7 linked regions of the Sus scrofa genome follow. The protein of the gene in region 7 interacts with the protein of the main gene of each other region in a pairwise test. Links are inferred from orthologs where the notes say so. Each region holds a gene or a part of one and is shown on either strand. Other genes may lie near its edges.

What was found.
Region 1: the proteins of TRIM23 (region 7) and GPANK1 interact in binary tests that used the Homo sapiens proteins (3 or more experiments, as listed by UniProt). The link is inferred for Sus scrofa from reciprocal best matches to the Homo sapiens genes TRIM23 and GPANK1.
Region 2: the proteins of TRIM23 (region 7) and TBC1D22B interact in binary tests that used the Homo sapiens proteins (3 or more experiments, as listed by UniProt). The link is inferred for Sus scrofa from reciprocal best matches to the Homo sapiens genes TRIM23 and TBC1D22B.
Region 3: the proteins of TRIM23 (region 7) and AQP1 interact in binary tests that used the Homo sapiens proteins (3 or more experiments, as listed by UniProt). The two-hybrid records come from large-scale screens. The link is inferred for Sus scrofa from reciprocal best matches to the Homo sapiens genes TRIM23 and AQP1.
Region 4: the proteins of TRIM23 (region 7) and FAM133A interact in binary tests that used the Homo sapiens proteins (3 or more experiments, as listed by UniProt). The two-hybrid records come from large-scale screens. The link is inferred for Sus scrofa from reciprocal best matches to the Homo sapiens genes TRIM23 and FAM133A.
Region 5: the proteins of TRIM23 (region 7) and GPKOW interact in binary tests that used the Homo sapiens proteins (3 or more experiments, as listed by UniProt). The two-hybrid records come from large-scale screens. The link is inferred for Sus scrofa from reciprocal best matches to the Homo sapiens genes TRIM23 and GPKOW.
Region 6: the proteins of TRIM23 (region 7) and FLAD1 interact in binary tests that used the Homo sapiens proteins (3 or more experiments, as listed by UniProt). The two-hybrid records come from large-scale screens. The link is inferred for Sus scrofa from reciprocal best matches to the Homo sapiens genes TRIM23 and FLAD1.

Annotation. Positions count from the first base shown.
Region 1 is NC_010449.5:23,777,547-23,781,691, reverse strand, and holds the start of GPANK1 (G patch domain and ankyrin repeat-containing protein 1), read left to right. Parts: upstream 1-1,345; 5' UTR 1,346-1,871; exon of another isoform or gene 1,872-2,284; intron 2,285-2,361; exon of another isoform or gene 2,362-2,364; 5' UTR 2,365-2,453; coding exon 2,454-3,058; intron 3,059-3,951; coding exon 3,952-4,145.
Region 2 is NC_010449.5:32,891,178-32,894,677, reverse strand, and holds part of TBC1D22B (TBC1 domain family member 22B), read right to left. Parts: intron 124-3,500; coding exon 17-123; intron 1-16. UniProt on the Homo sapiens protein: May act as a GTPase-activating protein for Rab family protein(s).
Region 3 is NC_010460.4:42,073,942-42,078,231, reverse strand, and holds the start of AQP1 (aquaporin-1), read left to right. Parts: upstream 1-1,490; 5' UTR 1,491-1,680; coding exon 1,681-2,070; intron 2,071-4,290. UniProt on the Homo sapiens protein: Forms a water channel that facilitates the transport of water across cell membranes, playing a crucial role in water homeostasis in various tissues.
Region 4 is NC_010461.5:76,148,349-76,152,151, forward strand, and holds the start of FAM133A (protein FAM133A), read left to right. Parts: upstream 1-1,500; intron 1,501-1,584; exon of another isoform or gene 1,585-1,608; intron 1,609-1,614; exon of another isoform or gene 1,615-1,705; intron 1,706-1,725; exon of another isoform or gene 1,726-1,856; intron 1,857-1,890; exon of another isoform or gene 1,891-2,083; intron 2,084-2,490; 5' UTR 2,491-2,560; intron 2,561-3,803. Other genes in the region: NAP1L3 (nucleosome assembly protein 1-like 3), read right to left, coding at 1-1,145.
Region 5 is NC_010461.5:43,189,039-43,193,237, reverse strand, and holds the start of GPKOW (G patch domain and KOW motifs-containing protein), read left to right. Parts: upstream 1-1,399; 5' UTR 1,400-1,458; coding exon 1,459-1,590; intron 1,591-1,663; exon of another isoform or gene 1,664-1,816; intron 1,817-2,311; coding exon 2,312-2,458; intron 2,459-4,199. UniProt on the Homo sapiens protein: RNA-binding protein involved in pre-mRNA splicing. As a component of the minor spliceosome, involved in the splicing of U12-type introns in pre-mRNAs.
Region 6 is NC_010446.5:94,810,621-94,814,826, forward strand, and holds the start of FLAD1 (FAD synthase), read right to left. Parts: upstream 2,801-4,206; 5' UTR 2,723-2,800; exon of another isoform or gene 2,655-2,722; intron 2,260-2,654; 5' UTR 2,116-2,259; coding exon of another isoform or gene 2,035-2,115; 5' UTR 586-2,034; coding exon 1-585. UniProt on the Homo sapiens protein: Catalyzes the adenylation of flavin mononucleotide (FMN) to form flavin adenine dinucleotide (FAD) coenzyme.
Region 7 is NC_010458.4:44,143,492-44,147,698, reverse strand, and holds the start of TRIM23 (E3 ubiquitin-protein ligase TRIM23), read left to right. Parts: upstream 1-1,407; 5' UTR 1,408-1,502; coding exon 1,503-1,583; intron 1,584-4,207. Other genes in the region: TRAPPC13 (trafficking protein particle complex subunit 13), read right to left, coding at 720-765.

The sequences.
Region 1 (4,145 bases), on a different chromosome or scaffold from region 7:
GATCCTAGACTGGAGCAGTTCTCTCCAGCTCCTCCTATTCACACCTCAACCCCTTTTTTCAGAGACAGGAAATTCTCTGGGGTCCCAACACTTGTGTGTAACCGGCAGGTCTTGACCCATTAGTCCTATCCACATCCCTAACGCTCCCCAAGGCCAGGCCCCTCTCTCCTCTATGTCAACTCCAGCAGGGCCTGCGGCTCAGATTCCCTACCCCCGCAAGTCTCCGTTTGTCCCCGGCCCCATTCCCAAGGTTTCCGAAGTTTCTTTCCAGGCAAGAGCTAAGCTCCTCTTTTTCTCAAAGTCTGGGGATGGCAGTTAGGTCCCTTTCACGGGAGTCTCCTTATCCCGCCTCCATCCTTCAGACCACCCCCTCCTTCCTTCGGTCCCGGACCTGGTCACTTCCTTCCCCACCCCCACATCAAGGCACGGAGACCCCTTGTGCCGCGCCCAGGAACAGGGGACGCGGCGCGGCAACGACCTCAGACTCACCGGCTGGACGGGGACTGGGACCGGGGGGGCGGGGAGGGGAGGGGAGTTTCTGCTTCCAAGGAACCGCGGCGACGGCTACAACGCAGGCCGCGGATCCAACCGCGGCAGGCGAAGTGGGGCGGGGGGAGTGGAAACTGGGGAGGGTGGGGAAGAGGGCAACGCGCAAGCGCTTAAAATCGTGCGCCGCGGTGAACGCCGGGAGATGGAGTCCTCGGAAGCTAGAAACTGGCGCAACTGAGAAAGGGCGAACTACGAATCCCAGGACGACCCGCCCACGACCCTGGTGTCGCGAGGCCCCTGAGGGAAACGCTCCGGGGCGGGGCGTAGGGAGCCGCCACCGGAAGCGGAAACGCAGTACCGTGTTCTGGGCCAGGGAGCCTGGGAAATATAGTCGAGTGATCTTATCACCGTGGGGCTGAGAGGGGGCGGGGAAAGGAACAAGACAGGCTGGATCATTTACTGCCGCTCCCTCTCACACAACGAGCCTCAGGCGTGCGGCCCTGCTACCCAGACCATTGACCTCATCACCGACCAGCTGCCTGGCCCTTATCGCTTGTGGAGCCCCCCTGTCCGAGTCAGCCTGCCAAGGAGACCCTCAACGGGGCCCATATTTCACTCAAGGGTTTGATCTCCTGAGGTGGGAGGTGAGGCCGGGTTCCGCGCTGAGGGACCTGGGTAGGGTGTGCTGGCTGAGCTGAGAGGTGTGAGAATCGGGAAGGTCCCGTGCGCTAACCTGAGGTGGCGCCAGCCATTCTGTTGCTCGTCCCCTTGCACTTCTCCATTTCCTTTTAAGGCTTGAACAGGGCCTTCTGCTGCGGGTGCTAAGTGCGACCTTCCAACCCTGGTCAGATTAATGGTGAGGGGCTGCGTGACTATTTCATTTCACGGCTTCTGGGCATTCTCCGCCTCAGGGCCTTTCTTAACCCAGAGGGTGGTTTCCCAGGTCCAGAAAATGAGCTTGGAGCGGGGGCCACGTTGAGGGAGGCGAAGAGCATTGTGGGGGCGTTAGGTAAAAGCAGGACCCCAACCGACAGATATTTCTCGATCCTCGCGCTACCAGGGCACGTGGCGTTTTGCGCTTGTGTTATTGGAAAGATTCCAGGGCGGGAAATAGCCCGGAGCAGCGCGCCTGCGTGCTCCAGTATTGTTTTTGTTTGTCCCCCGCCCGCTCCCCATTCAGCTGCGCATGCGGCTTTGACTGTGGACGCCTTTGCTTAGAGTAGCGCCATTTTGCAGTACGGAAGCTGCAAAGCAACGAGTGGAACCTCCCCGCGAATCGGCTTCCTGCTTCCGGACAAATGTCAAGTCTGTTTTTGTTTAAGAATACCCCGAAATAGGATCCAGGAAGATTTAAAGAGCCAGGCTGATTGTTTTCCTTAATGGTATGTCCCGCGCAGTTGTAAAGTAGTTTCAGAGAAAGGCTGTTATTATTGATGGTGAGGATGGAGTGGGGGCAGAGCACAGGACTTCTGGGCAACTGTCTTACAGAGTCTACTTTGTTAACCTTTACTAAGGGGCATGGTCTGTTACCATAGGGTTTCCTATTTTTACACAATCCGTGGTCCTCGGGGTTCACTTTCCGCGTAGGAGGGTTTTTGTTTGTTTTTGTCTTTAGGGCTGCACCGGTGGCATATGGAGGCTCCCAGGCTAGAAATGGAATTGGAGCTACAGCTGCTGGCCTACACCACAGCCACAGCAACGCAGGATCCAGCCGTGTCTGCAACCTACACCACAGCTCACAGCAACGCCGGATCCTTAACCCACTGATCTGAGGCCAGGGATCGAATCTAATCAGGTTTGTTAACCACTGAGCCACGAAGGGAACTCCCGGGAGGGGATTTTTGATTCTAAGGATACTTGTTTTTATCCCAGCAGGTGTCTGTAGGTGATTCTGGTCATTGCAGGACCATCTGGGACTTGGCTTCCCCCTGCCTAATCTCATTTTCCCAACTCTCCCCAAAGCCATGTCCGGGTCCTCCCTCATTAACTTTACCCCAGCCACTGACCCCAGTGATCTCTGGAAAGATGGGCAACTGCAGTCACACCCTGAAGAGCTGGAGCCCACCCTGGATGGGGCTGCAGCCCGGGCTTTCTATGAAGCTTTGATTGGGGACGAGGACAGCACCCCTGAGCCCCAGAGATCTCAGCCTGAGCCTGCTAGAAAGAGGAAGAAAAGACGAACGATGAGGGAGACTACAGCAGGAGCATCAGGAGAAGATGGACAAAGGAGATCCCTTGAGGCAGAGGACAAGATGACCCAGCAGATACTGAGGGCAGCCCAGGAGGGGGACCTGGCAAAACTGAAAAAGCTGTTGGATCCCCATGAGGCAGGGGGAGCTGGAGGGAATATCAACGCTCGAGATGCTTTCTGGTGGACCCCACTGATGTGTGCTGCCCGAGCAGGCCAGGGGGCAGCTGTGCGCTATCTCCTGGGCCGTGGGGCGGCCTGGGTGGGGGTCTGCGAGCTGGGTGGCAGGGATGCTGCTCAGCTGGCGGAAGAAGCAGGCTTCCCTGAAGTGGCCCGCATGGTCAGAGAGAGCCCCGGAGAGACAAGGAGTCCAGAGAACCGGTAAGGGGAAGCCTTATCTTTCATTGTGTTCTGCCCTTCCTCACACTTCACACAGGAGGCCACAGAATAGAGCCAAAGGGTTTACTTTCCTGTTCCCTAATGTAGGCTGATCGGGCAGTGTGATTATGAACAGGATACTCCCTTGGATTATTTTTTATATAAAACATTTTTTTCATTAAAAAAAAAATTGGGGTAGTTCCCATTGCGGCTCAGTGGTAACAAACCCAACTAGTATCCATGAGGACGAGGGTTCAGTCCCTGACCTCAGTGGGTTAAGATCTTGGCATTGTCGTGTGGTGTAGATCTCACATGAGGCTCGGATCTCACATGGCTGTGGTTGTAGCATAGGCCAGCAGCTACAGCTCTGATTTGGCCCCTAGTCTGGGGACTTCCACATGCCGCAGGTGTGGCCCTAAAAAAGACAAAAAAAATTTTAAGTTTTTTAATTGAAGTATAGTTCACGTATATTTGCTATATTCCCACATTGCATGGGCTCCTTGGGTTTAAATCCTGACTGTACTTACGTGGGCAAGCAACCTAACCCATGTGCCTCAGTTTCCTCATCTAAGAAATGGAGCAATAAAAGCACCTTTCTCTTAGGGTTGTTAGGGTCAAATAGGTTAATATATGTAAAGTGCTAGAAAAGCACCTGTCCCATACTAAGCACTATACCAACACTAGCTATGGTCACTATTGTTATTTTTCATCACCCAAGAACTTTGTGAAGCCTTTTTAACATCTGTTGGCTCAACTATTCCCTTTTGGGTCTCTTATCATGAAGTGGGGAGGAAGGCAATTTGTTCCTCAGCAGAAATACAGGAAGGACCTAACCCTGCCACCCTCCTGAGGCCTCAATCCTTGTGTTGCCCTTAACCATTCTTTTTTCTTTGCAGGCCCCGATCCCTCTCCCCCCAGTACTGTGAGACCTGTGATGCCCACTTCCAAGACTCTAACCACCGTACATCCACCGCTCACCTGCTCTCACTGTCCCGGGATCTCCAGCCCCCCAACCTGCCCCTTGGGGTGCCTACCTCCAGCCCAGGCTTTAAGCTTCTCCTAAGGGGGGGTTGGGAGCCTGGAAAGGGAC
Region 2 (3,500 bases), on a different chromosome or scaffold from region 7:
GGGCAGAGTGCCTTGCCTGGATCCCGTCCAGCAGCTTGCTCATGCACCAGAAGCTGTCGGCTTCAATGCTTCGCAGCATGTCCTGAGACAAATTAGTCACGTCGAAATTCTCCACGTCCTCTTCTGTAAAACAAAAGGGGAAGAGAGTCCAGGGGTCTTCTCTGAAACGTGGAGAGAGAAGGACGGAGTCTGGTGTATTCCAACAGGGTCTTTGAGGCCAGGAGAGAGCTGGGCTGGTGTGATGCCAAAGACCGGGGCCTGCCCTCCTCCTCCCTTGTCAGGTGGGCCCAGTGTCCCAGGAAGGCCCTTGAGGATCTCATTAGGACACTGAACAGGCCATTTCTCACACCAGTTTTGATGGGTCCAACACATCTTTCTTTCCCACTGCATGTGTTCATTTAGTTTGAGGAGAAACACTTCAGGCCTCATGTTCAATGAGCTATATCCTGCCGCCTGGAGAGGGTCTGGAAAAATTCTCTGATTTCAGAAATTCACTGAACTGTCTGGCACACTCACACTGGTGAGAACGGCTGGGATCAGGTAGCCTCCAAAGTTCATTTTCAAGAGGGAATCCCCTTGGGCAGACCCATGGCCTTACCACTCAGAAGTGAAGATGAGAAGTTCCCATTGTGGCTCATTGGGTTAAGAACCTGACTAGTATCCATGAGGAAGCAGGTGTGATCCCTGGTCTTACTCAGTGGGTTAAAGGATCCCACATTGCCATGAGCTGTGGTGTAGGTCGTGGATGTTTCTTGGATCCCGCGTTGCTGTGGCGTAGGCCAGCGTCTGCAGCTTCAATTTGGCCCCTAGCCTGGGAACATCCGTGTGCCCCAGGTGTGCCCCCCCCCAAAAAAAAAGAAAAAAAAAAAAAAAAAAAAAGTGAGTGTGTGAAGTACCACAGCCCAAACCTGCAGGAGCTTCCAGGATTGAACTTCACCAAGTTGGTAGTTATTAAGCTGGGTTTTGCAAGACGTCAATCCTATAGGACACTCAAGAAAAAAGAGCTTCCACAGGAAATATGGGTGAGAAATGCGCGCTACATGTCCTCATTCTGGAGAGTCACGACAATCACAGCACACAAAAGGATTTGAGAAGTTACTAGAAATTCTGCATTAAGCAAATCTCCTTAACCTTGCTTATCCAGCATCTCCCCGGCTTCTTTAGCCACGGGACCTCTTTTGGCTTCTCATGGAAACCCCACACTAAGTGACGGGAGTGAGTCTGAGATGCAAGTGGGGAGAACACCTGAAGAAGGAAGAGGCCCTGTGATGTTTCCTTCTGCCAGAGAGAGTGGACAAGACAGGCCAGGCCGTCTCAACCCCCAGGCCCCACGTGCCGGTCAGAGGTCACATGTGGGTTCTGGGCCAGAGGCAGCTTATGTCCTTGCAGCCCTGTCTTGAAAACAGGATGTCCCCTGCAGTCCCTGGTGCTGCAGAGACACAGGCAAGGGACAAAATGCCTTCAGAATCCAGCCCTTTCGTTTAGGAGAATTATTACTCTATTAAGTCCTACAACTGGACCTTCTTGGGACAACCCTCGGATTCTCATCCTGTATAAACAGTGCTTTTTAATAAGACACCCAAGGGCTGTAAAAATCCTTCTGGGGAGGATGGGGTGTTTTGTCAGAAAAGCTATGACCCTGGGAACAATGTAAAAGTCCACAGTTAATACAAGTAAAGTGCTAACAGTGCTTGGCTCACAGTAGGCGCAATATAATTTATTTTAGATGAAGTTTATTAGGAATTCGTAAGGACATGGGAAAGCACGTCAGTGTAAAAGGAAAAGAGTAAGGTACAAAATTATTTATGGTATATTCTCAACTAGTGTACATACAGTATTTATGTGTTTATATAAGCACAGAGGAAAGACAAAATACATCACAAAGGTTTACAGTGCTTATTCCCCAGGTGGCAGGGATACGAATTTTTATTTTCTTTAAGACTTACTACTCAAAATTTCTACAATAAGCATAATTTTTATAGCCAAGAAAAAATGCACATTATTTTAGAAAAAAAGGGGGCTGCAATCGACTACATCTTCCTTTTACCACCACCACACACACAAAAAGATTCTATAATATAATACTAAGCCTGCAGAAATGGAAGACTTTGGATAATATGTAACGGTCCATTTGAGAAACCCAAACAAAAAATCCTCCCAAGAAATACTATCTTGGAGTTCCCGTTGTGGCTCAGGGGTAACGAACCCGACTAGCATCCATGAAGACTTGGGTTCGATCCCTGGCCTTACTCAGAGAGTTAAGGATTCGGCGTTGCCTGTGAGCTGTGGTGTAGGTTGCAGACGTGGCTCGGATCCTGTGTTGCTGTGGCTGTGGTGTAGGCCTGGGATGAGAGCTCCAACTGGACCCCTAGCCTGTGAACCTCCATATGCTGTGGATGCGGCCCTAAAAAAAAAAAAAAGAAATACTTTTTTTCCCTAACACTCATTACATAGTGGGGTTTTTTTTTGCGGGGGGGGGGGGTGAGGGAGGGCGGTAGCCATATGTATTAGTAATTTAATTAAATGATACTGGGCTCTAAGACCCAGCTCAGAATCTTCCTTTACTTTTTGCTTCATGTTTCAGTGCTAAGACCCTTCTTTTTTTTTTTTTTTTTGTCTTTTTGCCATTTCTTGGGCCGCTCCCGTGGCATATGGAGGTTCCCAGGCTAGGGGTCGAATTGGAGCTGTAGCCACTGGCCTACACCAGAGCCACAGCAACATGGAATCTGAGCCGAGTCAGCAACCTACACCACAGCTCACAGGCAACGCCGGATCGTTAACCCACTGAGCAAGGCAGGGATCGAACCTGCAACCTCATGGTTCCTAGTTGGATTCGTTAACCACTGAGCCACGACGGGAACTCCTGCTAAGACCCTTTTACATTGCTGTATATACCACTAGTTCCCGCCCTGCAGAAGCCACCACCCCTTTACACATCCGTCCCCCAAGGATGGACACCCAGGTGCAACTCCCACTACTGCAAACAATGGCCTAAGGAACCCATACAAGGGACAAAGAGCCTGGGTCCCTGAGCAGAAGGGGGAGCGCAGCTGCCACATGAGCCCTTTGCTGTCAGACAGAATAGCATGGGGATAAGAGCACAGACTCTGGAGCCAGACCTCACAGCTTAAAACCTGACTCTGTCACTCTCGAGCTATGTGGCTTTTGGCAAACGGCTTCACCCTCTGAGCCTCAAAACCTCACCTGGTAAGGTGATGATATCCTGCCAGGGTCGGTGGACATTATAAGGATCAAACAAGTTAGTACATGGAAAGTGCTAACAATGCCTGGCATAAAATGAGAATTATGTATATCTTAGCTAATATTACTGTTATTAAATGAGGAACAAGTAAACTTTTACCTTCTGTAGGGTGCTGTCATGTTAGATCTTTGTTATTTGTAGTCAAACCCAACTTAATTCCAAACATAAAACATACTTCTTTTTTTAAATGGCTGCATCTGCAGCATATGAAGTTCCCAGGCTGGGGGTCAAATCGGAG
Region 3 (4,290 bases), on a different chromosome or scaffold from region 7:
GGGAGGCCATTGGGGGCTGGCATCGTCTTCTGCAGATGGCCCCTGAACAGGACCCGTGTGCTCATGCCTGCCCTGGCACACACACAATTCAGAGAAGTCCTTCCGCTCACTGGGCCTCAGTTTCCCACCTGTGAAATGGGGAGAAGCCCGCCTTCTCCAGTAGGGCTGTGATGAGGCTGGCAGGAGACCGGAGGAGAGGACCAGGGAGGCCCCTCCCTCCTGGGGCAGCTTTGCCCCCAGGGCCCTGCCTGGCTCCTCTTCCCCGCAGACGCACTGCAGCAGCCTGGTGGCCTGGGCCTGGGGTTCCTGACCAGCCTCCGGCCCAGGAGTCCAGGTTCCTGCTCAGTTCACTGGCTGCCGCTGGGCCTCTGGCTTTGGCGCAAGGCTGGACTATGGGGCGGGGTGGGGGGCGGGCATGGTCTTTAGAGCTGCCTCTTCCCTCCCCCTGCCCCAGGCAGTGTCCGGTCCCTCCCCTTTCCCCTCTGCTCTCTCCTCTTGCTCTTCTGGATTCTCACCTCTGGGTCCAGTCCTGTGTCCCCTCTTTCCAGTGGTCTTTCGCGCTTTGTGCTGTCTCTGTCTCTCCTTCTCAGTCCCCAGTGTCTCCCTATCACTGTTTGGGGATCTGTTCCTTTCACTTCTGCTTCGGCTGATTCCACATCCCACTGTCCTTCCTCCTCCCTCTGTCTCTCTGCCTCTCGTTGCCTCCTTTGCCTCTTCCCCTCTGGGCCCCGGTGTCTCTTCCTCTCCCTTTCGTGCTCCCACCTCTCTTCCCCCTTTCTCTCCTCCCCTTTCCCTCCGGGGCTTTCCGGTCAGGTTGCCCTTCCTCCTGTCTCCCCAGTGGTCCACCAGCTTCATAGGCTTCGAGAGGAAAGTCCTTGCCTGCCCTCATCTTCCCCAGCTGCCGCAAGATCATTCGCTCAAATCAGAGTAGGGAGCATCCTAGCCTGTCTCAGGCCTGCCCTGGACCACAGAGTGGGGGGTGGTCTGTAGATGAGCTCTCTGTACCCCCTGATGCCTCTGTGTCCCCATCAACTGAGGCCTGGCCGGTGGTCTGAGGGTTCTGGGACATTCCTATGGTGACATTTAGTGGCCAGGTATGGGAGGCGCAGACTGCCGCTGGGGACCCCTGGACCTGTGGACTCCAGACTCAGGCCTCTCTGGGGTTGGATGGGGATGGCAGACCAGCAGGGTCATGGTGCCCGCCTCTAGGAGGGCAACGTCCACCTGCTGAACCTAGCCGCTCACCCGCCCCATCCGGAGCGCCTGGCTTTGCCCTCGGGCACCCCCTGCGCTTTGCACACAGGGCAGGGACACCTGGATTTCTCTGGCCCCCTGAGTGGGGCCAACTTGGAGGAATTTCTCAAAGCCTATTAGAGAAACGCTGCCTCCTGCCTGCCTCCTCGAGCTGGGCAGGGCTGAGGGCGGAGGGAGAGAGGGAGGGAGGGGAGAGAGGAGGAAGGGAAAAAAAGTTGGCAGGCCGACAGCAGAGCTGTGTCTGCATCCATCGCTGAGAGGAGGCCCGTGCAGTGTGGGGCGGGCCAGGAGCAAGGAGAGGCCTTCCTCCCTTTGTGCTCCCCCCCCCCGGGGGGGCCCTATAAATAGGCCCAGCCCCGGCTGTGGCTCAGCTCTCAGAGAGAGGCGAGCACCAGGCAGCCGTCTCAAGCCAAGCCCCCTGCCAACATGGCCAGCGAGTTCAAGAAGAAGATCTTCTGGAGGGCGGTGGTGGCCGAGTTCCTGGCCATGACCCTCTTCATCTTCATCAGCATCGGTTCTGCCCTGGGCTTCCAGTACCCCGTGAGGAACAACCAGACTTCAGGTGCGGCCCAGGATAACGTGAAGGTGTCGCTGGCCTTTGGGCTGAGCATTGCCACGCTGGCCCAGAGCGTGGGCCACATCAGCGGCGCCCACCTCAACCCGGCCGTCACGCTGGGGCTCCTGCTCAGCTGCCAGATCAGTGTCCTCCGGGCTGTCATGTACATCATTGCCCAGTGTGTGGGGGCCATCGTCGCCACTGCCATCCTCTCAGGCATCACCTCCTCCCTGCCCGGCAACTCCCTTGGCCTGAACTCGGTGAGTGGGGTGGTCCCAGGCGCCGGGGCTCTAGAATGGTGCTGAGATGCCGCCGGTTTCATCCTCTGCCCACTGTGCAGATGGGGATACTGAGGAACAGAGAGGACGAGAGGTTGCTGGAGGTCATGCTCAGTTGACCTGGAACTCAGCTGTGCCTGGGTCCAGAGCCCTTTTTCTTCCAGGCACTGTGGGACACGGAGACCCAGAGCGTAATGGTCTTGCCAGTGTCCCCTGCGGGCCTCTATTATGGGAAATAAGCTCTGGAGGCAGCTAGTGGTTGGGCCAGCAGCTCCTCACCCTGGTTTCTTGCTCCCTTCCACCCCAAGCCCTCCCTGTGCAGCAGCTGCCTCCCCATGCGGCCTGGACCCCAGGGAAACTCTGTCTGCTGTCCCCCGCCTCCCTGCACCACAGGCCGGGCATGTGTGTGGGTCCGTGACAGTGTGAGCAGGACTCCCCTGGGGCTGCTCCAGCAGCCCCACATTCGCACAGGTCCCCAAACCAACTGCCTTGAAGGAAAAAGCTCCTCTTGCTCTTCTGGCCCCAGGTGGGGGACAAAGATGGGGGTGAAAACCCTGTCTGGACAGTGTGCAGGCGGTTTTCTTGGATTACAGCAAGGGGCAGGGGCGGGGCAGGGCCCTCTCACCCCCTCTCTGGGTCCATTCGCGGTGGCCGGGCACTGAGAGGTGTGGTGTGTGGGTGGGTGTGAGCCGTGTACGCGCATGGATGGCCACCCTCATGGGTCTCCGAGCCCATGGAACCTGGGCACTCCTGTGTGAGTCTTTTTTGGAAGCGTGTCTGTGTCTGTGAGCCCGTTATACTGCTGGGCAGGCATGTGTGGGGGCGAGTATGTGCCTGCGTGTGCCCACCGCTCTCAGACTAAATGGGGCCCGGCCTGGGGGCACTCAGGATAAGCAGATGTGGGTGACCCAGCGGCAGCTGCAGAAAAGAATTCCTCCTGGGCCGCTTAGCACAGCTAATTGGCTGTTGGCGGCAGTTGCCTGCTGTCGCAGACCTGGGCTTTTCCAGACCTTCAGCCAAGTGCAAACTCAGACCTGGCTTGGGCCACAGCAGGGGGAGATTTGGCCTGAGAGTCTGGGTAGGGCTTGGAGGAGGTCTTAGAACACCGCAGCCGAGGGGGCGTTGCCACAGGGAGGGAGCGAGGCCAGGGAGCAGAGAGAAGGGATCAGGTGGGGTGTCGGCTGGCAGGGCCTGGGCAGGGCAGGCGGGTGTGGGGACAGTAAGAGAGGGGCCAAGAGCCCTGCAGAGACCGCAGGGGGTGATCAGAGAAGCAGCTCTTGCTTCCCAGTCAAAGTTCAGCTCCTGGTGCTGCGGCTCGGGGAGGCTTGGCCAGCTCCGGTGCGGAGGGCAGCTGGCATGAGCCTGCCATGGAGGGATTAGCACTTCTTGTGCCACAGTGACACCTCACCCAACCCGGGGTTGAAGATTAGCCCTGTAGACTGGAGTTTAGACTTTAGTCGAGAAAGAGGTGGGCATGGTGGCTGTGAGGGACAGAGCTCCAGCAGGCTGCGTCCCTCCAGGTCTATCTCTCCAGCGGGGGCAGAGCCGGGCAACATCGGGGAGGGCCCGCCGGGTAGGGTTGGGATCACCTTGGGGCTTAGCTGGGCAGGATGGGCGTGGGGATAGGGTCCTCCTGGTGGGAAGCTGAGTCTCCCAGGCCTCTCGGCCCCCTCTTGACCCTCTGTCTCAAGGACCAGGCAGGCAGGTGTCTCTAAGCTGGCCATCCCAGGCAGACGTGGGAGGGCGGGCTCCTCTGTGTCATCTTGATCTGGCCACGCCCTCCTCCAGTGTCCCGTCCCCTCTCTGGCCTTCATTTTCCAGAGTTGCCCCAATACCTGAGCCAGGCGGGTGGCAGATGGGGGAGAAAAAGGGACAGCATCGTGTGGGGCCCAGCCTAGACTCAAGTCCTGGATCCTACCAGCTTGTTGGGTTTCCCCGAGGCTGAGAGCCCTGAGGCTCCAAGAGGGGACCTGGGTCTCTGGATATCTCCTGGCCACATGTGTAGTACCAGCATGCTCACTCTAGGTCTTGAGTTTATCACTCTTCCCAGGGCGGTCTGGCTAAGGGGAGCCCAAGAGGGGCCGTGCTAAGCATAAGGGCACTGAGCACTGTGGCGGGACCCAGGGCAGCCCTGTCCACACCGTGGAAGTTTGGGGTCTGGCAGGGCACAAACAGAGAAAGCATCCCCGCCAAGGGCTCCCG
Region 4 (3,803 bases), on a different chromosome or scaffold from region 7:
CTCCAATCTATCTTACAGCCTTTGCAATCTTGGATTTCCCAGCCCCAGGAGAAGAAGGGATCATTGTGATCTGGCTTTGACTTTATTATATATGTCTTGGTCAGCACCTCATTTCTGAAGTATGGATTGGGTAGGAAGCAAAACTCAAATGTGTAACTTATAGGCCGGCCAGGTTTTGAGAACTTCAGGCTAACATCTGACAGGAACTTCAGAATGGGCTCATCATACTTCTGAATCATGGGTCCCAGCTTGTCAACATTCTTTAAGACAGTCAGCCAATAGTCGGGAATGCCTTTAGGATCTTCTCTTTTAGGCTTTCCTTTGCGAGCTCTTTTCAGAGCCCTTTCTTTAGGCCTGACCTCAGGAATTCTTTTAGGAGCTTCTTTTACAGCAACCCTGGCCTTAGTCGCCTCTGTTGCTTTAGGCTGCTCTCTGTCTTCTGCCTTTGCTTGGGGGGCTTCTTTTGGATCTTCCTTTACTTCAGGCTTGGCCTCCAGAGCATCTTTAGACTCTGCTCTTTCTTCAGCCTTTGCCTCGGGATTTTCTTTAGGGGCTGCATTTTCTTCAGCCTTGACCTCAGGTTTTGGTTTTGGGTCCTCTTCTTCCTCACCCTCTAAGGCAGGCATTTCACTAGGGCCCTCTTCCTGCACTTCCTCATCACTGCTAAACACCTCATCCTCCGAATTCCATTCACATTCTTCCTCCGTGGGCTCATATTCTGCATTGATGATTTGGAATCGCCGATCATACAGAGGCCTATTGAGTTCGGCATATTTTCTTTCGAGCTCGTGAATTGCCTTTAAGAACAGGGCGTCTACCTTGTCACATTCATCTTGAATATTTCTGAGCGCCTGCACACGATTTCTAACTGCCCGAGGCAGCTGATCCACGAAACTTCTACCCGACGGAGCCCGCCGCGCCCTTCTGGAAGGCCCAGGTACCCTCTTCTTTCTATAGAAACGGCTGCGGCTATTGCTGCTGCTGCTGCTACTGCTGCTGCTGCAACTAGTGCTGCTGCTAGAGCTGCTGCTGCTGCTGCTGCTGTCAGATTCTTCCCCAGAATCGCTAGACGAGCTAGCCACCATCTCTTCATCCACCCCCTGGGCCGCAGCTCCCGAGACCCTGTTAGGATCCGCTTCTGCCATTCTGCAAGCCTGCAAACCGCTTAGCGTGGTGACTACCGCGCGCACAGAGATGGGCCGAAAATGACTCACGGATGCTTGGGTGGCAGCGGTGGAGGTCGGGGCAGCGGCGAAGGCAGCAGGAGTGCAGGGCGGGGTGGGGCTGGGCTGAAGCCGCGGAGGCGGCAGCGACACTGGAGGCCTGAGCAAGAGCGGCAGAGGTAAGGGCTCTCCCGGCTGCAGCTGCTGCGGACCGAGGCGTGCCTCAGCCGAATGGCGCAGTGCGAGACCCCGAGATCTCTTCACTACTAAGATATTGAACCCCCCCCTCCCCTAGCCGTCAGACCTCCCGTTAATTTCGTTCCCAGTGTGCCCTTTAGCTCTCACCTCATTTGCTAGGCATGCTTGATCGACAAACCCTCAGGCCAATGAGTAGCCAAAAGCACCGCCCCCTCCAGACTCCGCCCACCTTCCCAGACGCTCCTAGGTAGCTAAGGCTCATACCCCAGGAAGACGTTTTTCCCCCTCAAAATTTTATCCTTATAGTTTTATAATTCAAAAAAAAAAAAAAGCTTAGCTATGAGGTAAAAATACTAGTCATGGTTTCTAACAAGGGAAGAGGAGTATCCTTCTCCCATCTGCCCTTCATTAATTCCCGTTTGGTTTGTCAGGGGCCTCGTGACAAAAATCTGTTTTTTAAAAATTGGATGAAAATACTCCAAATGACATCTTTGGGTAGTGTGCTTGTGGATGATTTTTTAATTCTCTTTCTTCTATCTAGATGTTCTATGAGCATGTATTTTTACACTGGGGGGAAAAGAGGGAGTCGTTTATTGGCAAAGCGGGGAGGGGCTAGAAAGCAGGCATATTGCCTTCCACGTAACAGTTTTAATAAGTGCTGTCTGTGGTGTTTGGCAAGCCTGGTTTATATCCATCTACAAGGTTTGCGAACCCATGTTGCCGTGAGTCAGTTACACCATTTTTTACTATATTTCTCCTTTTAATTTGGCGTGTAATAAACCCCAACCTTGCTGCTGATTTGCCACGTAGTCCTTCTCAATGCTTGTAACAACCTTGTAGATAAAATAAGAGGGCATTCAAATGTTAGGTAGTATTTTTTAAAAGCAGACGCTTTGTTCTATACTTTCATGCAGCACTTTTCCATTCCAGGAATAGCAGGATGGGAGGGGGAGTCTGTGCTGATGAAACTGCATCCTCTGTCAGGGTATACTTTACAATGTCATCTGCCACCAGTTTCCTTCTAAAATTGTAAAATGCTAGCCATACTAAAGTATGATTTACAAATCCAGTAATATGTGAATAAACTTGCAAAATGAAGTTTAAAAACAGCTGTTATTTTTATTTGCAGGATTCTTTTCTGCCACAGAACAACTCCCTTGGTACAACCAAAAAGACCCGTGTTTACTTTTCATTAAAAGGTAAGGAACATATTTAGCCCATTTTTATGAATGACAAGAATTACCTATATATATTTGAATAAAAATTCACGACAGAGTCTTTTAAAGACTTAATTGGAAGATAGTTCTATGTAAGCAGAAAAATCCACAGAGGTGATTTAGAATATTAATGAGGAAAATAACCTAATTAATGACATTCACTTTCTAAACCTGCTCATAGAAAGCAAGTAGCAAATTAAAACATAACATCTGATGAATTATTCATTTCAAATGAGGAAAAATATTAAAGTAAGATTAATCTTTATGTTGCTTCTTTATTATAGGATTTGTGCTTAGTCATTTAGTCATGTATTTATAAATTAAGAAACACTTTTATTTTCTATTTTGTAAATGAATTTAGTTTTATTGTTTATTCCTGATTGTCAAAGTATGTAAGCATTGTAAGGGAAAATACAATATAGAAAATTAAAATAATAATAGAAATACACAATTTTAATCAAATGATAACTATTGTTAGCATTTTGATGCATTTCCTTCTGGAATTTTCTTTGTACATGTACATGCCTGCCTATTTATATATACTGTTTCATCTTGTGAACTTATGTTTTGTAACCTGTGCATTTATCAGTTAATTGTGGCTATACTTTCATAGAAACCGATCAATATTTTATTTTAAAATAGATGCATATTTCATGGAAATATTTGCCTTAATTTACTTAACCAGATTCCTCTTGTAGGGCAGTTACTCCCTGCACCATCTTTCCACTAACGTACATTTTCCTGTTGTTAAAAAAGTTAACCCTGGATACCTGCTATATGAACTTGTAAAAACTAGTCATCTGATGAATTCCTAGAAATGGAAGTGCTAGAATGAGTTGTATTCTCATTTTACTCTTTGACACATATTGCCAAGCTTCTCTCCAGAAAAAATGATCACAATTTAAAATCCCAACAATAATGCATGAGTTTATTTAGCCATTCAACTAATATATTTTTGTGCCTGCCACGTGCCAGGCACGTGTGGTAGAGGATAATGATATAATGCTGAATAAAACTTAATGGGTGCATATCCTCTCATTCTATAATTTTCATTAAAATATATACTATGGAAGGTATGATTTAAATCAATGAAATTATGCTATAAATATTGTTCTACAAATTATTATTTTTTTAAATGATGGACATATTTTGTTAATGCTTTATATTTTTATAGTACTTTAATGATTTCATATATATGTTAAATTTTATACTATCAAGAATCAGC
Region 5 (4,199 bases), on a different chromosome or scaffold from region 7:
GCTGTGGCTGTGGTGTAGGCCTGCAGCTGCAGCTCTAATTTGACTCCATCTTGGGAACATTCAGGGGTGGGGCCCTTAAAAAATAAAATAAGTAAAATAAATTTCATATGGAAATGCAAAGAAGAAAACTATGTTGTAAAAGAAGACAGTGAAGAGTAATTAAAATACCTGACTTCAATATATACTATAGAGCCACAGTAATCATGACAGTGTAATAATCATAGAGGCTGTGAAGGGTCTGCTAGGAAGAGGGAAGAGCATGGGCAAAGGCAGGGAGGTGGAATGACAGTGGGCATAGCTGGGGAACTTCGAAAGCCCCATGGGGTCACAAGAACAGGGCAGAGCAGTGAAGGGGGTCCAGTGTGTCCCCCTCAGACAAGGGCAGGTCCGAGATGGGAGGCGCATGGGGTCGAAGGAAGAATGAAAGCAGGGACCATTCAGCCATGTCACCGACAAGGACCGCCAGGACCCTGAAAGGAGGGAGCGAGAGGTGGCCCAGCCAGCCAGGATGGACACCAGGACACAGTGTGCCCGTCCACAGCCCATGGTGACATAGTAACTGGGCCAAGGGACTGTCGGGGGTGAAGGGCCTGAGACCCACACTGCCCTTGGCTGAGGAGGGGCCCTGGGTCCCTCCCGCCCTCAGCTTCTTCCTCCACAAAGTGGTGGCCACAGGCCTTCTCTCCCTGCTCCCCATTCCTCCTTCCTGCTTCCACTACAGGACCACTGTGCCCAAGCATTCCCCCCTCGGGGCCTTTGTCTCCAGAGCCCCTCACCCCCACCCCCTTTCAGACCTAGGACGGGCCTCCTCTCTCCCCTCTCATTGCCTGGGGTCCCCTCCACCCACGTGCCTTGAAAGCCTCCTCGAGTCCAGCCCCCTACTGTCCCTCCACTCTCCAGGAGACCCACCCTTCCCTACCTTTGGAATCCCCCAACCCTATCATGCTCAGGGCCCTGACGCCTCCCTCCCGTGGCCCCCCAAGCCTCCGAGGTCACCCTCCCCCCCAGCCCCACATTCCCCGCCAATTTACTGAGTGCCTACGATGTGCAAAGCTCTGCTGGAGGCTGCAGAATACCCTGGGTAACGTGGGTTCGGGGTCCGCATCCAGTTTCCAGTTGTCAGAGCGCAGGAGGGGCCCTGAACGTCTCTGGGCCTCGACGTCCCCCTCTCCCACGTGGAATGACGACATCCCCGGGGTGGAAAAGAGGTTTCCCACGGTGCTGGGAAAGAGAGGCAGCGCCTGCGGCAGAGCGAGGCCAAGGGCTCGCGCGGGCTCCCTCCCTGGGCCAGGCCTCCTTGCGGGCCGCCAGGTAGGTCACCGCGCTGCTTGGGGCGCCTGAGCACGGGACCGGCCGGCCTCAGCCGCGTCCAGGCCCGGGCAGGCGGCCAGGTGAGCTCGCCCAGGCGCTCCCAACACGCCACTGGCGTCCGTGCGTCCAGCGGGCCGAGCACAGGTCATGGAGCCGCGCGCGGGGGGCGCCACAGACCCTAGGGGGAGCGGAGGAGGTACGGGGCGAACGGGAGCGAGTGGACGCGTCCCTGCCAGCCCTCGCCCCGCCTGTCTGCTCGTCACCTTTTCCTTCTGGCAGGTGGTAAACAAGGCAGCCCTGGCGCCCAAGGGGCGGCGGCGGCCGTGGCGGCGGCGGCGGCGATAGAGGGCAGGGCCCCAGCGACCCGGGCTGGGCTCTGGGCCCCCTACCCGCACCCGCGCTGCGAAGCGGTGCACCAGACCCGGGGGCTCTCAGGAGGGTCCGGGGAGAGGTGCAGGAGGGGGTCTGCCCGGGGTCACTGGACACACCTGGGCACTCGGGCAGGGTCTGTGGTGGCCTCCGGGGGTTAGGCAGGGCCCTGCGAGGATATGGGAAGGGGCAATCCGGGGCTACGTGGGCCGGCAGGGGTACCTAGGCTATCTAGAGGGGAACCGGGGGTGCCGGGGCCACAGGGGCCGGACCGTGTTCTGTCGGGACCTCTGGGAGAGTCGGGATCCTTCTCGATGCTGGCGGGGAAGAGTTTGGGATCTGGGATTCTGGCGGCAGTTGGGGGAGGGGGCAGTAGGACACCTCCAGAGATGCCCACAGGGTGTTCGGAGGGGTCCGGGAATACTGGGGTTAAACAGCTAAGTCCAGAGATATCTTGGGGGCAGGCGGGGTCCACGGGCAAGCGAGGGACAGTCGGTGACCTTCGCAACTGTGGAAGAGTGGTCCCGGGTCTCCGGGATCTTGATGGCCACTCTAGGTCTTCGGTCATCGGGGGGCGTGGGGGCTCGCTGAGACTGAAGGTGGGCGTTGATCTGCCCTTTCCGTTCGCCAGGCGGTGGCCTTCCTCCGCGCGCGGGCCCCAGCGCCCGGGAGCGGCTGGCGCGGCTGGACGCGCGCCCCCTGGCGGCCCGAGCTGCGGCGGACGTGGCGGCGCTGGTACGCAGGGCGGGCGCCACTTTGCGCCTGCGCCCCAAGGAGGGTGCGTGACAGGGGCGGGGCGTCCAGAGGGCGTGGTCGGAGCGGAGCCGGGTTCTGGGGGGGCGGGCCTGGGATTGTTAGTTACTGCCCTGGGTGGGGCCAGCGAGTGAGTGTGAGTTGGGAGGACGAGGCTCGGCGGTGTTGAGGGGTCTGGGATTTAGCCTATAATATTCCTCTGGGAGGTGACACAGAGGACGGCTATTGGATCTGGCGTTGCTGTGGCTGTAGGGTAGACCCGCAGTTGTAGCTCCGATTTGACCCCTAATCTGGGAACTTCCATATGCCTCCGGTGCGGCCTTAAAAAGCTAAATAAATAAATAGAGAATATTATTAATTTCCCAGATATCCCCTACCTACACTTCAAACTGATTTTTCTTTTCCACCTTTTTTTTTTTTTTCTTTTACGGCCACACCCAGGGCATATGGTATGGAGGTTTCCAGGCTAGGGGTAGAATCAGAGCTGTAGCTGCTGGCCTATGCCACAGCCACAGCAACGCCAGATAGGAGCCGCATCTGCGACCTACACCACAGCTCATGGCAACGCTGGATCCTTAACCCACTGAGCAAGGCTAGGGATGGAACCTGTGTCCTCATGGATGTTAGTCAGATTCATTTCCACCAAGCCAGGATGGGAACTCCTGATTTTTCTATTTAATGAAATATTGTAACTATTGTTCCCTGTTGAGCCATGAAGAATTTTAAAACATCTGTAATCAAAGTATAACAGTTCCCTCGTGGCTCAAGGTACCTGACTGGTATCCATGAGGATGTGGGTTCGATCCCTGGCCTCGCTCACTGGGTTAAGGATCCGGAGTTGTTGTGAGCTCTGGTGCAGGTCACAGCCGTGGCTGGCATCCTGGGTTGCTGTGGCTGTGGCATAGGCCGGCAGCTTCAGGTCCAGTTCGACCCCTAGCCTAGGAACTTCCATATGCCGTGAGTGCAGCCCTAAAAAAAAAACCAAAAACACCCAAAGTATAACTAACATTCACTCATTATCATACAGAACATCCTGCCCCAATTTTCCATTCTTTCCTTCAGATCCATTCTTTGAAATGGAGTTATCGCATCAGGGAAGAGATATATATTATTATACTGCCCCCGATAAACTTTCAGTCAATTTATGCCCTTATCAGCAGTGTATGAGTGTGCCCATTTTTTTCTTATTCTTTTTCTTTTGGGGCTGCACTGGCAGCATGAGGAAATTCCCAGGACAGGGACTGAACCCAAAGTATAGCAGCGACCCAAGCTGGTGCAGTGACAACACCAGATCTTTAACCTGCTCGGCAGCAGGACAATTCCCCCATTTTCTTCCATCTTTAATAACTTTGGGCATCATCCATAGTACTTACTATTTTAGATCTCGGCCCAGTTAGGCTCTCTGGACCAAAGTTCTCTTATCTGTAAAATGGATTTTAAAATAGCCCCTACCTGCAGTTCCCATCCTGGTGCAGCGGTAATGAATCCGACTAGGAACGATGAGGTTGCGGGTTCAATCCCTGGCCTCCCTCAGTGGGTTAAGGTTCCAGCGTTGCTGTGAGCTATGGTGTAGGTCGCAGACATGGCTCTGATCTGGCGTTGCTGTGGCTGTGGTGTAGGCCAGCAGCTGTAGCTCCGATTGGACCCCTAGCCTTGGAACCTCCATGTGCGGCGGGTGCAGCCCTCAAAGGACAAAAGACAAAAAAAAAAAATAGTTCCTACCTTACAGAATCCTTTGGAGAACGAAAGGAATGCTTAGATGTGCA
Region 6 (4,206 bases), on a different chromosome or scaffold from region 7:
GAGCCCCTCCAGCACCCGCCGCAGCAGCTCCGGAATTCCGGGGAAGAGGTAGACGTTTCGGACAGAGACCAGTGGGAACCTGAAGGGACGGCCTGTGCGAGGGTCTGTGCCATAATGCAGGCGGGCAGAGGAGGGCACCCGCGACAGCTTCTCCCAGCCTTCCCCTCCTAGGCCTCGGATGGCCGCTTCCAGCTCAGGGTGGGGCTTGAGCTCGTCCCCAAAGGCCTGTGCTACTGCCTCAAAGGTCACATCATCATGGGTGGGGCCGATGCCCCCTGCTGTGAGGACGTGGGTGAAGCGGCTGGAGAAAGACGTGACCTCAGCTGCAATGGTGGCTACCTCGTCGGGCACAACGGAGACTCGGCACACCTGGACCCCCAGGGAGCGCAGCGTCCGGCACAGAAAGTAGGTGTTGGTGTCCTGAGTGTGTCCCTGGGAGATGGGGGGTGGGGAAGACGAGTGTGTCAGTGCTGTGGGGATGAAGGGCAGAGGGGGAAGGAAGGAGGCTGCATGTGCCTGGGGGTGGGGCCCTCTGCTCTTGGGGGGACACCAGCCCTGACTGGGCACAAGAGTGGCAAGATCCATGTGGAGTCAGGGATGATGTGAACCACCTTGGGCTTCCATCTCTGTCCTTTGACCTTGACCTCATCTATGCTTCTGGATTCAATCATCAATCGTACATGGACAGCTCTTCCACTTCCTCAGCAACTCTGACAGTTTCGGTCTCCTGGTTCCAAGTGCTTCCTGGGCATCCTTCCCCCAACCCAGGCTGTTGTCACCTTGGTCAATGGCATCCCCAGATACTGTCCACAGCCAGTCAGCCCCTTCATGCTGTCAACTCTACTTCTGAAATGTGTCTCTCCATCTGCTCTCTTCTCTTGTCCCTCCTGCCACCAAACAGGTCCTTGGCACCTTTCACCTGGACAGTGGCGACAGACCCCTGGCCAGGCTCCCGGCCTCCAGCCACAGCGCCCTGCCCCATGCGTCCCGAATAACCTTCCTAACGTGTCACTGTGATTGCATCACTCTTGGCTCAAAAGCCATTTGTTGTTTCCAACCCTGTACAGAATAAAGTTCAAATACCTCTGCAGAATATTCGAGGCCGCCTGTCTATGGTGTGTATGCACTCTTCCTTTCCAGCTCCATCTCCTTCTACTTCTCCACAGAGTTTAGCGGTTAAGGGTGACTCTGGAGTGAGAATCGGGTTGGAATCCCATCTACCACTTTTTAGCTGCTGTTCCACATGGGTGAGTCTCTCAACTCTGAGCCTTATTCTCATAATCTATTCATTGATATTGACAGTAAAAATACCCACGTCATGGGGTTGTTGTGAGGATCAGTAAAACCACACAGGCCATGTAATAAGCACGCTGCCAGGCCCTAGTAAGCACGTAATAGTACTACTGTGAACCTGATGCTCACCGTGACCTCTCATGAGACTTCCTTGATCATTCAGAAGGGATTTCTCCCTTCTGGTACTTTCCTTCCATCCCACTTAGCTACTCTGCTGAATGCCTCGGATCATTTTCCAGTTAGGCTGGCTATAACTCTGAAATAATACCTCCTGTATACATGGGACTCCTTGTCATTTTTTTTTTTCCCACCACCCCACTGCATATGGAGTTCTCAGGCCAGGGATCAGATCTGAGCAGCAGTTGTGACCTATGGTCCAGCTGCGGCACTTCTGGATCCTTAACCCACTGTATCCCACTATGCCAGCCAGGACTGGAACCTGTGGCCCAGCGCTCCAGAGAAGCAGCCGCCTATCCCCGTTGTGCCACACCCGGAATTCCTCCTCATCATTGCTGTTAAAGCCTCTCCTCCCCTCCCACACAGCATGGCTAATTATAGGGACTTTGCTACAAGTTTTTCAGCAGAGTAATTGAATAAATGAAGGTCACTCTTCCTGCAATATACTGGACTCACTCCAGGACCCTACGGTAGCAAGGGGGGCTCCCACCCTGGTTCACCCTCCCTTAACAGAACGTGTTAGGAGAACGCTGCACCCTCCCCCCTCTTCTGTCCCAGACACACCTTGAGGATCTCATCTCCAACAATGATGATGCCCGCCGTCACGCTGCGCCCTGGGGGAGGTTCAGAGGCCCTAGATGCCATGGTCCTGCCTTCTCTGCCCCTCCGCAAGGCCCTCCAGTAGCCACCCAGACCCCAAAATAGGGGTCGCAAGCACTGGGGGCCCGCCAGATCTACAGGGCACTGGGGGTCATAGCCTGGGAACAGGGGTTCCGGGGTCGAGGGAACCTGGAGGAGCCAGAAAGGACAATAGGGGAGAGCAGGAGTGCACCGTCTTCCTCATTAGGCCCTTGACAATCGACTCCTTTACACCGGCCCCTTTAATAAACCTGCTCTCAAACCCTAGCCCATACCTCTTTTTATGTTTTCTAGGCTCGGTTCTAGTCTCCTGAAAATGTTCCCTCCAGAACATCTACCACTTTAAATGTCTTCTGCCCGCCGAACTCGGCTCCTCTAGGGTCCGCTCTACCTTGCGCATCTGCGCCTTTAAATAAATGTCTCTTCTCTTTACCGCACCTGTTCCTTTAAATGTCTACCTTAGCCTGGGCCTTGGCCCCTTTAAATGCGTTCCCTCCCTCCACCCCCAACCAGAACTCAGCCCCTTCTTCTGCAGCCTTCCGCACCCTTTCCAGCCCGGAATACTGTCTCTTCCCGCCACGCTTCAGACTACTGAGCTTTTCCAGGTTCTCACCTGCCTCTTGCCCTTTCACCGGGTCTTTCCCTCTCTCCTCCTGTTTCGGGGCAGCTTCCGTACTCAGAGTCCCGCCTTAGACTCATACCTACCTCGTATTAATTGGTCATTTTGGCTGTCGCTCAGACTACTTCTAAGGGCCCATTGGTGTAGTCGATCATCGCTCGAGAGCTGTAGCCAGTGGGCGGGAGTAGTGCTGGGTTGTTATTGGTGACAACCACGTGGTCACCCCTTACCCGGAAACGTGGGGGCTGGCCTTCAGTCGGGGGCGGGGCTTCTTTTCCCTCGGGGCGGGATTTGGGGCGTCTCTGGAGTGAAAGGAGCGATGAGGGGTGCAGGTGCTTTAAGGGCTTTGGGGTTTCCTGTCTGGTGGTGGAAGTAAAGGGAGGCTTGACTCTAATCTCCTTTCTGTGTTCATATTTCTTTTTTTTTTTTGGGCCTGTCTTTTTAGGGCCGCACCTGCGGCATATGGAGGTTCCTAGGCTGGGGGTCCGACTGGAGCTGTAGACGCCGGCTTACGCCACAGCAACGCCAGATCCGAGCCGCGTCTGCAACCTATACCACAGCTCGCGGCAACGCCAGATCCTTAACCCACTGAGCGAGGACAGGGACCAAGCCCGCGCCCTCATGGATGCTAGTCGGGTTCGTTAACTGCTGAGCCACGACGGGAACTCCTGTATTCAGATTCTTGTATGCATATCTGTTATTCATTAACAGATGACTCATTCTAAGGGGTCAGGGGCTAATATCAGAGGGGATTTTATATTGTAGCAGATGGAAGTTGCACGGACACCAAAAAAATTGGCAGCATTGCCTGTGAGGTAGCAAGATCCTGGAGGTGAGCTTTTAGTGTATGGAACTTTCATTTGTCCCTGTTATAAACAATAAAGCTAATTACTTAAACCTCTTCGACAAGAAAAAGTCTTGCCCCACCTTGTTCCAGATGGTTCTTTAAACATAACCTCTCCCAGTTAATTGGTCTTGTGGGTACAAGTGAGGGCAGTGACTAGGGAGTGCCATGTGTCTATTTTGGATTATCATATTATTCTAGCTTCCTCTTATTTCACTTGCTTTTAGTCTAAAAAGTACTTCTTAAACCCTAATACTCATGAATCATAAGGGGGGGCCTTTTTAATGTGCTGATTAAATCTATGGGATTCTGGAGGTTTAGGTGGGGCTTGAGATCTGCATTTAACAAACCCTCCTGTCATGCTGACGACACTCTTTCCTAAAAGTCTAAAATTCATTCATCTGGAGCACTGTTGAACCACACCTGGCCTGAATTTACTATCCCAAACAACCGCAGAAACACCACAGTGAATGGTAGAGCCAGGCTTCTAGTCCCTTCTTTCTCAATAAGCCCCGTGTTTCTTCCAACTCAAAGAATCTCAGCTCAAAAAGAAAAAAAAAAAAAAAAAAAAAAAAAAAAATCGGGCTTTCCCAATTACATAAGCCATATGCGAAATGATCTGTATTAGTAATAA
Region 7 (4,207 bases):
GAAATAAATGCATTTGTGGTAATAAAAAATAGATGAAATAAAGCTGAAAGCATTTCAAATAAAAAGTTTCAGAAAACAATTCCAGAAAAGTAAGCCCTGCTAGTTTCCCCTAAATAATAATCAATTAAATGATCAAACGTACTCGAAGTTGTTTGCTGTGTACAGAAAATGAAAACTGACACGAATATTCCCATATACACAATACTTTGAAGTAAACTGCAGTGATTTTTAACAAACCTAAATTATATGTTGTGGTATTACGTATTTTTAAATCCTTGGCACAATAACTAGACTAAATTTCACAAATGAAGCTGAAGCCTGGTAACACTGTCATTGCCGCGTCAAGAGATAAGAGACAGAGGAAAAAACCACTTTAGATACCCGCTGTTAATGGTCTCATTTGACAGGGCTCTCCCCAGGGTAGGGAGGTCAACTACTGCCAAAAATCTCTCCGGTGACTGCAGCAGCATATAACAGAGTAAGTAATTTACCACGTATCTATTCCATTTTACAGGGCGATTCTCAAACTCAAAACCCAAAGCGAGGAAACGGCTTCCTCACGCTGGGCGCCCAAGGACAGAGAGGAGGACGAGTACTGACAGTGCTTAAGAAGGACGAGGCCTACATTCCAGAGGCAGGTCTATGTGCCATGAAGCTTCGAGAACTAGTGAGAGAAGGGGAGAAAACAGATTACTGGGAGCCGGGTTCGCAAAGTTTACCTTTCAAGGCCAGCAGGTGCTCCTGCTTGGGGGGATTCACTTCCATTGTGACCGGCACTTTGGAGCCACTGCCTACGGAGGCTGAAGCGGTTCAAACAGCCCGGAAGAAAACAGAAAAGCGCACGTCCGTGAAGACAAGGCATTAAAGACACTCCCAACAGTTTCTGTCTGCCGGTAGCGCCTTATATACTCTTCTAACCACGTCCTTTACTGACCCAACGGCTCCTTTTTACCAAAGTCATCTCTTGCCTCTTACAGGCCTATACATAAAATACTTCTCTATTTTCCAGCCACAGCCACACGCCGCTCTTTCAAGAAAGCACTCCACGGTAACAATACACAACCTCCCAAATACCTACACTGCAGAGTAATTGATATAAATGTGGCACGCTGGGATTTGTAGTTTAAAAGCCGCATGGCATGCAGGGAGATGTAGTCCCCGGTCTCCGTTCGTTAGAGGGAAGAAGTCATTGCTGGGGTAGGAGTTTCATCCCAACAATTTTCTTCTGTTTTATCCTCTCTTTTTTCCCTTAATTTTGTTCCTTCTATCAAGTTCAGACTCCTCAATAATAACAAAATAACAAAGCGCATCCACTGAAGAGTGTGCAGCCAATCAGCAAACGAGTGCCAGAAGGAGGAGCGAAGAAGTCGGCCCCGCGGCTTCTCCGCGTCGTACTGCGCCTGTGCACCAGCAGCGAGCGCCTAGGCTTCTGGGTAGGTGGCTCTACCCCGCCTCTTAGTGAAGGCCTTGACTGCTGCTTCTGCGGCACTGCACCTCCTAGGATGGCTGCCCTGGTTGTAAACAGGCCTGGTGCGGGACTAGACAGTGGTCGTCAGGGCAGCCGGGGGACAGCGGTGGTGAAGGTGAGGGACCTTGCGTACTCTGTTCTCCGCCATCTGCCTCCAGTTCATGCCGGAGATCTGGCGGCACTACAGCGGCCCTGGCTGTTGGGGGCCGGTATGCGCGGCCCTCTGGGCCCCTCTCGGCTTTACAAGCTTTGCCCTCCCTTCCTGAGGCCTGAGGTTGCATGGTCTCCTGGTCATGCTAGTCTTCTGCTTGGAGTCGCCAACGGGGACATTTGTGAAAAGGAGCCTATCGACATGTTAGAGTGACCTGGGCTGGTCTTTCTCCAGGTCCTCTGCTTGTAGTTCAGCCCAACAGGCGTTGATTAGCCTTTTTTTTTTTTTTTTTTTTTAAATTAAATTGAGCCATTATTATTGCCAGGTACTACGTTAGGTATGTAAGATCGTTAATATCTATTAGAGGTAAATGTTGATTCTCGTTTTACGGGTGAGGAAACTAAAGTTTCGAATAACACTGTATAGTGGAGCCACAGCTGACTGGCTTTAAAGTACACTTTTCACTATCGTATTACTTCTGTAATGAGAGCTCTATTTTTGCTTGACCTGCTCCTTCCTTTCTTTTTGTAGTACAGTTTGTCAGCACTTTTGAGAAGTCTCCAAAAGTCCCATTAACTCTGGGGAATGTGAATTGCCCTATGACTGAACTTTGAAATTGTATCATGTGTAGATGCTCTAAAATGTATTTACTAAGAAATCAATTGAAATATGTGGAATTCGTTTTTCCATATATAGATAAATAGAGATTCGGAAGGGAGAACTGATTTCAGTGGTTTATAGAATAAGCTAGGAAGATTTATAATCTGTGCTATTGAAAATTCTTATTCCTGACTTCATATTAGAATAGCTGAGGACTTAAAAAAAAAAAAAATAAAAATTAGGCCCCCGGTTCTGATGAAGTTGACATCAGTGTATTTTTTTCATTCCCAGAGTGGTTTTAATGCACAAACTGTTCAGAACCACTGGGTCAGATATCTGAAATTTTCTTAGAATCTTAAATAGTAGACACCTATGATTTTTCACCTAATGTTGGTTTTATATGACATCAAATGATACATTTCTGCTAACAACTGTATTAATCAGTATTGGTAGTTGTTGATTCATCTGACCTTTATATGTTAATGACATTCTGAAGTACATAGACTATCTGAAATGCAGAAGAGCGCTCTTATTAAGCTTGTTGTATGGTTGAGTTTTTATTTATTGAATTATTCTTTTTCTTTTTTAAATTTTATTTACTTAATAATGATTTTTATTTTTTCCATTATAGCTGGCTTAGTGTTCCTTTTTTTTTTTTTTTTTTTTGTCTTTTTAGGGCCACACTCGTGGCACATGGAGGTTCCCAGGCTAGGGGTCCAATTGGAGCTGTAGCCGCCAGCCTACACCACAGCCACAGCAGTGCAGGATCTGAACCTTATCGGTGATCTACACCACAGCTCATGGCAATACCAGATCCTTAACCCACTGAGCGAGGCCAGGAATTGAACATGCATCCTCATGGATACTAGTCAGGTTCATTAACCACTGAGCCATGATGGGAACTCCAAATTAGGCTTTTTCTTTTTCTTTTTTTCTTTTTTTTTTTGCTTTTTAGAACTGCACTTAATGGCATATAGAGGTTCCCAGGCTAGAGGGTGAATCGGAGCTATGGGCTGCTGGCCTGTGCCACAGCCACAGCAAAGCCAGATCCGACCTACAGCACAACTCCCAGCAACGCTGGCTCCTTAGCCCACTGAGTGAGGCCAGGGATCGAAAGGGCATCCTCATGGATCCTAGTCGGGTTCGTTAACCACTGAGCCACGAGGGTAACTCCAGGCTTTTTCTAAGTAGAGAATACCTGTATGTTATTTTGTGAATTAACTTCAGTTAACAAGTTCTTAATTGAAATAGATATTATTGCTGTTAGCTCCTTTTGTTTTGTTACCCTGTTTGCCTTAAAATCTCAGAAATACACCAAAGCCTGCTGTAACTGTGGTTTGTTATAACACAGTTTGTTATGGTTTGTTATAACACAGTTTGTTATAGTACAGGCTCATTTTGTTAATTTTCATTTTTGTATGTAAACTGTGCCTAAGCTGTGCAATAGGATAGTCGTTTTTGGCAAGATCCTCATGGTATAATTTTTAAGAAATATGTTGGTATAAAATAAAAATCTTATTGTCATTTTCATAGATGAAAGCAAGCAATATTTATTGGAAGGTAAAAGTTAAAGTATATAATGCTAATGTATACATGGAAAATGGCTTCCTGCTTAATGGACGAGTTGATTATGACAGGGTTTTTGTTTTGCTTTTTTTTTCTTTCTTTTTTTAGGGCCACACCCGTGGCATACAGAGTTTCCCAGGCTAGGGGTCTCATTGGAGCTACAGCTGCCAGCCTACATCACAGCCACAGCAACTCCAGATCCAAGCTGTGTCTTCGATCTACACCACTGCTTATGGCAACGCCGGATCCCTAACCCATTGAGCGAGGCCACAGATTGAACCCACAACCTCATGGTTCCTAGTCATATTCATTTCCACTGAGCCACAGTGGGAACTCCTGACAGGGTTTTTATCATTAGGAAAAATAGACACAAATCCGATATGAAATTATTATTATTATTGTTATTATTATTATTTTCTCTT